Canis lupus familiaris: one gene and its partner. The protein of the gene in region 2 binds, or shares a complex with, the protein of the main gene of each other region. Links are inferred from orthologs where the notes say so. Each region holds a gene or a part of one and is shown on either strand. Other genes may lie near its edges. The genes, in order: RAB1B and TBC1D20.

Region 1 (2,557 bases), on a different chromosome or scaffold from region 2:
CTCCCTCGCTCTCCAGCCCGCGAAGCCGGCGGGGCGGAGCCGGGGGCGGGGCCGTCGTGCGAACCGCCTCAGGCGGGGCTGGGTTTCTGTGCGCCCCTTCGCTGGCACCGCCGGGCCGAGCGCCACCCCCGCCCCAACCTCAGGGACACGTAGGCATGGACTTACATCCTGAACATGTGCCCGCCCCCGCCCCCCGCGTCACACGAGTTCGGTCCACTCGGAAGAGCACACACACCCCCCTACCCTAACATACTGTATTGTGCACACCGACCTGGGAGGCCAGGCTGAGGTCCTAAGTGGGAGGAACTTGGCACTGTCCAAGGGGGCAGAGACTCTTGGCTTGAACCCAGGGCAAAGCTGGGAGAGGGCTGAAGGGAATGAGGGCCTGGTCTGATGGTGCATGTCTGCAGCCCAAGCCCACAGTCTGGACAGATGTGGGCCCGTGTGGGTGTTGACAGAGCCTCACCAGGTACCGGCAGCTGATGGCCACCGCCTCCCTTTCTGCCAAAACCGTGCTGGGCCCGTGGGGACACACCACAGAAGCAAAAGAAGGCAGCACTCTTGGCTTTAGGAAGTGGGTCAAGGACTTTCAACAGCAACCCTAGGACACACAGTCCAAGCCAGGACCCCTGTACAGCCACCAATCCCAGGGCCCCAGTTCCATTCCCCCAACCCAAGGCAGCTCCCACCACAGACCACACTCAACCACCACAACTTCCTTGCAAAAACCCTCGGCTCACCCGAGGGCCAGTGGAAATTTATTTTTTGTCCTTTGTCTTTCCCCAAGTGGCTTTTCCTTGCAAAATGCCTGACATGACACCAGAGGGGAACCTGGGAGTGAGGGGCACCCCAGGGACTTAAATACAAGCTGGAGGGCAGGGCACAGGTGGGACAGGCGAGAGACAGCACAAGGGACATGGCTTCTCAGGTAGAGACCAAAGGTTTGTTTTTCTGCAGGAAGAAGCTATGCCAGAGGGCATGGGGCTAGGATCCTGGGTGGGAGGGGGTGAGGGGAGAGGCCCCCAACCCTGGATTTGCACCCACATTCCCCAGAAGAGAAGTAGTGACAGGGCATGAGGACCTGCCCTCATAGGCTCCAAACAGAAGGAAGAGAATAAGCCAGATGTGCTGACTCAGGGAAAGGGAAGAGGTGCTGGCAGAGTGAGGGTTAAGGCTGATGCCCGGCCTCTGGCACAGTGGGCCTTCCGCCTCTGCCTGCCTTGGGGACAAAGGGGCACGGTGGGCAGGCAGCACATGGGCCTGGCTCTGGCAGGGCAGGGGGTGGCAGGAGCAGGCTCCCTCTGGGCTCAAGACACAGGCCCAGCATGGCTGCCCGCCCACCTGCTCTAGATGTGCTCAGACCCCACCGCAGCTGGACGGCTGGAGCTGTGAGTATGGAAGGAGCAGGGAGGAGAGGCAGGGAGGAGAGGAAAGGGTGGGCTGCTGGGCCCCTGTGGCCCCCATGCCCTTCCTGAGGTCCAGCCCAGGGCCCTGGATCCTGGGTCCTGGATCCCCTGGTCCCATTCCTGGCCCCCGATGCTGACTGCAGCCAGGGACTATAGAGGCCAGGGAGGCTCCCAGCTCTTGGGGAAGGGGTGGGGTGGAGAAGGAAAAGGATGAGAGAAACCCACTGCAGCATACATGGGGGGCAAGGGAGGGAAAGAGGAGCCCTCATCCCAAAGAAAGGTGTGTGGTGGGGTATCTTTTAAAGTTACCTAGAGGCAGCAGCAGAGCAAGCCCACCTCCCCACCCCAGCCAAAGGTCCTGGGTGTCCTCCCTTGGGGACCTTGACAAAACCAGGGCTCAGGGCAGCAGGCAGATGGGCCAGAGGGAGATGGGGAGCCCAGGACACCCCAAAGCCACAGACTCAAATGCCCCAGGAGAGGGAGGCACCTCCTGTCCCCTCCAGGAGCATCATCTGGAGAAGGTGCCCCCTCCTGTCCCACCCCAGGTGCCCCTCCTAGCAACAGCCGCCACCAGCCGGCTTCACAGGGGTGCTGTCGATCTTGAGGTTGGGCCGCTCACCCCCTGAGGCTGCCCCAGGCCCCATCCGCTTCTTGATCTCAGCAGCCATGGTCATGAATGCCTGCTCAACATTGGTAGCATTCTTGGCACTTGTCTCCAGGAAGGGGATGCCCAGAGAATCTGCGAACTCCTGATGAGGGAAAAAGAGAAAAGAGGGAAATGTGGGAAAGGAGGGGTGAGGGGCAGCAGACCCCAGCCTGCCCTGGGGGGCCTGACACAGGCCCCACTCACCTTGGCTGTGGTGTTGTCCACTACCTTCTTGGTGGTGAGGTCGCTCTTATTGCCTACCAGGAGTTTATTGACGTTCTCACTGGCATAGCGGTCAATCTCCTGTAGCCACTGCTTCACGTTGGCATAGGATTCCTAGAGAAGCCAGAATCACAAATTATTTTGCTCCCAACTCCCACCCCTATTCAAGGCCAGGAGAACAAGGGGTTTTGAAGGGGGTTTGCCTGGGTTCCCGAGAGAGACAGGAGCCCTGAGCTCAGGGACCCAGAGGAAGATCTCTCTCTCCTCCAGGCTTAGATCTCCT
Region 2 (3,815 bases):
CAGAAACCCTTTTAATAAAGGAAATTCCACCCCCTCCCAATCCTTCCATGGAAGGGTGAGACCTCAATGTACTGGAAGAGGAAGCTTCCTCTCCGGCATTTAGGGGAAGAGCTGCAGTTGAAACTTAGGAGCCCACTCCAGGGCACTTTTCACCACAGCCAGGGCGGCCGCTCCAAGTGCCACTGTCAGCCCCATCACCGCCAGTTTCACAAAGCGGTTGGTCCTTGGTTTGGTCAGGACATCTTTCGTTCGCTCCTCAGAGCGCATGAGCCCCCGAAACCGCTGTCGCAGCACCATGTCAGGCCTCTGCTGGGCTGATGCCAGCTCAAAGTCTTTGAAGGTAGAGGCGGCCGTCCTGCAGCAGGTAAGGAGACAGAAGAAGGAAACAATATGAAAGAAGAGAAGGAAATTAAAACTGGATTATTACAGAAGCTGAGGGCAGAGCCATCCACTGCTCAGAAGGCTCTTCTTGATCAAGACCCAGGAAAGCTGAAGGAGGGAGTCTGCTGGCCTGAGCTCAGATCTCTGCAAACATCCCCCAGCCCTGTCCCCAGCAGACACAATCTTCCACCATTTCTGCTCACTTACAGACACCCAGTTCAACCAGAGCCTTGGCCTCACTCACTTCTCAGCCTGCTGTTGGGCAGCTGCCTTCCGGGCAAGTTCTGATGGGGGAAACTGAACAAACAGGTCTCCGGCTCTACTGATCAGTGTCTCATAGGGCAGGTCCTGAGGGATCTGGGACAAGAGGTGGTGGACCGAGGCCATGTCACAGTCACAATCCAGGACTTCCTGCTCTCGATACAACACGATCTGTGGAGAGCAAGGCCTTGTATCAGAGACCAGGACACACACGGCCTTCACCGCTTGCATGTCATTCTCCTTAGAGATGAATTTAAATTGGTAGCAGACAGCAAACTCTTGTATCCATCCGGGAAGGGATAATGTACATGAGTGCTTTTCCCAGGGGGCTGGCCCTTCCTGCTACAGGCAAACTTCCACCCCAGGATGTGGAAGGCCAATCAACGAAATGAAGGAGGTTCTTTTAGGAGGAAGAAAAGGAAAGGGATCGAGGACAGACTCTTGGAGCTCCAATACAGAAGAAATGGTTCAAAGCAGTCGAAGAACAGTCTTGCTCCCCTTTCAAGAGCAGTGAAGGGTGTCCTTGTGCTCCCATCTCCACCCTGACCTCCACAATTCAGGCCCTCCTAAGATATGGAGCCCCACCAAACCCCGTTAGTATTCCCCTGAAATACCACACTTCTTCCCTCTCCAGCCTGGAGATGGCAGTCTGTACTAGTTCCAAAACATGTCAATAGGAACACAGACAATTCATAACACATACGAGCATTTTAAAGGTTCAGAAGACTCGTGCAGTAAACAGATCTCTTTATAACTTGGTTTAACCAAGCATTTCCCAAACCTATTTTTTACACAGAACTTTTCTTTCCCTATGACACTCCCATTAACACTATACAGAACGGTGTCCAGGGACATCAGTTTGGGAAATGCTTTTTCTCATCTTTCCATAATCACCAGGTTTCCCTGGAGGGAAAATGATAACGATGGAGTGGGTGATGGTGAACTTAATTATTGCCTCGAGGCCTATACCTACCACAGCTGCAAAGTAAATGGGCATCAGCGGGTGGCAGGCCAGGAAGAAATCATATAACCGCACAACGTGCCTGAAGTCAGACAGGACGTGCCCAAACCAGGTGATGAGCCAGCTGAGGGCAAAGATGGTTCCCACCTCAGCGCTAGGAGCAAAGAAATCCACATGTTAGGTTTTTCCCTGATGGGCTGTCGCCTCCCGCTCTCTGGGGCATCCTTGTCCTCAGTGCTTATGAGAAGGAAGAATCTGGGAAATACATTCTCTGGAAAATTCAGCCACCTAGGAATTCAGCATCTTCTCACAGAATACAAAGTCCTTAAAACATACCCACCATCGTGACACTAATACTACGATGGGGTCCTGGTTGCCTTATTTCGCTGGCTGCTTTCCTAATGGTTAACCAGTATCAATTACAGGAGGAAGAAGTAGCTCTGTTCACAGAACTATACTATCATTTTCTTTTTCTTTTTTTTAAGATTATTTATTTATTTATTCATAGAGAGGCAGAGACACAGGCAGAGGGAGAAGCAGGCTCCATGCCGGGAGCCTGACATGGGACTCAATCCAGGGTCTCCAGGATCACGCCCTGGGCTGCAGGCGGCGCTAAACCACTGCGCCACCGGGGCTGCCCTATACTATCATTTTCTTTCTGAGAAAGTCCTATACATTTTTGGTGGACACAGGCACATATTCTTAGGCTTAAACACACAACTGTATTAATTGTTCAGTTAACATGAGATGATCGAAACATCTTAAGACATAGCCATTATTAAAAGAAAAGAAAAAAGAGTGAGGCATTGGCCAAGGACACATTTCCAATTACAGGGAAGAGAAAAAAAAATCATGAGATTTGTAAAGCAATGTTTCTTCTCCTTGGAACCTGGTGAATAAAACCCATGGATGGCCTTGTCCTTCTCAACTTGAGACCCTACAGTAGTGTGTATATATACTTTTTTTGTAGCAATAACCTCAAAGTCCACCTCAGCATACTCACCTCCCCCACCACTCCCCACCAGATGTAACCTCAAGGCATGCACGGTGACACATCTTGTATCCCCACAAGAGCACAGTATCTAAAAAGTGCTCCCAGACTGTACAGAACTAAATTATCCAGATTGCTGGCAAACAGAAAGGACAACCTGGAAGAACTCAACGCTAATCAACATATGATGGTGGTGAGATTGAGCTGGACTTGTGAGGAAGAGACGAGGGCCAGGAGAAAGACAAAGGGGGGTCTATTCGCGTGCACATGTGTGTATATAAGTGGAGATGCATATATACCTCTGCATGAAGTCATGGAGCTCTGGATTCACCTGGTCAATGATGGGCATCAGATAGTTTAATATATGCTTGGTGTTGTCCATTGTTGGATCCATGAAATCCCTGGATGGAGATAATTCAATAAGCTTGGTCAGACTAAACACTCAGATGAGGGCCGAAGGGGTTTTAACCACTCAAACCACACAAGGGCCAGTGGGGTTCAAACCACTGGAAACACTGACTAGAAAATGGGCCAAGGAGTTAACCCCAGGGGGGCTTGAGGAATGATACCCATCCTCTTATATTCCTCTGCACTGGTACCTGAGGTGGTGGGTAGACAATTTTTCTACCAAGGATGTTGTCAGCCTCTCGCCTACCACCAGCAGAAATGTGACCACAATGTCATGGTACCCCTGGTAGTAGTGCAGCTGAGGGTTGCGCTCCAAGATGAGGAGGATGATGTCGATCAGCTCTTCCTGGAGGCCCTCTCTCTGCTTCTCTGGCATGCCTGGGGAGGGAAAAAGGGGATGCACCGGAATACACTGAGCAGCCTGGTAATGAGGAGAGGAAGACAGCAAAGGACTTGCCAAATGTTTAATAAAAAATGAATTATGAGCAATTTGGCAACGCATATTAAAATCCACATACCGTCGATACTATTTGGCACATAGGAAAGAGCCACGGAATAGCAACCTTATAGTGGGGAAGACTGCAGATGCCATCTTAACCAGGCCGTCACAGCTGACCCTGCCAGGGCCATGACTACCCAATGGCATGAGCGTCCTGCTGTGGCACCTGGGAAAGAACTCAGGATTGCTTCTGTGGAATGCCTATAGGAGCACATCCACCTTAGTCTAAACACTAGACAACCCAAACTGAGGGAGATTTTATAAAAATAGCTGAGTCATAAAATACAAAGGAACTACTCCAGGGTCAAGGAGGC

What was found.
Region 1: the proteins of TBC1D20 (region 2) and RAB1B are in contact, whole or in part, in a crystal structure (PDB 4HLQ), measured with the Homo sapiens proteins. The link is inferred for Canis lupus familiaris from reciprocal best matches to the Homo sapiens genes TBC1D20 and RAB1B. Residues at the interface, in NP_653229.1 of Homo sapiens: Gln97, Gln98, Leu101, Asp102, Arg104, Arg105, Leu107, Arg108, His141, Tyr142, Tyr143, Gln144, Gly145, His147, Asp148, Phe177, Met178, Asp179, Pro180, Thr181, Met182, Lys186, Val212, Ile215, Leu218, Ser219, Thr223, His227, Met272, Ala273; in NP_112243.1 of Homo sapiens: Ser17, Gly18, Ser36, Tyr37, Ile38, Ser39, Thr40, Ile41, Gly42, Val43, Asp44, Phe45, Gln60, Trp62, Ala65, Gly66, Gln67, Arg69, Phe70, Thr72, Ile73, Tyr77, Glu94.

The regions. Positions count from the first base shown.
Region 1 is NC_049239.1:51,529,013-51,531,569, forward strand, and holds the end of RAB1B (ras-related protein Rab-1B), read right to left. Parts: intron 2,389-2,557; coding exon 2,257-2,388; intron 2,156-2,256; coding exon 1,961-2,155; 3' UTR 716-1,960; downstream 1-715. UniProt on the Homo sapiens protein: The small GTPases Rab are key regulators of intracellular membrane trafficking, from the formation of transport vesicles to their fusion with membranes.
Region 2 is NC_049245.1:20,918,967-20,922,781, reverse strand, and holds part of TBC1D20 (TBC1 domain family member 20), read right to left. Parts: intron 3,381-3,815; coding exon 3,194-3,380; intron 2,996-3,193; coding exon 2,894-2,995; intron 1,758-2,893; coding exon 1,616-1,757; intron 814-1,615; coding exon 626-813; intron 356-625; coding exon 100-355; 3' UTR 1-99. UniProt on the Homo sapiens protein: GTPase-activating protein (GAP) specific for Rab1 and Rab2 small GTPase families for which it can accelerate the intrinsic GTP hydrolysis rate by more than five orders of magnitude. Also shows GAP activity for RAB18 GTPase.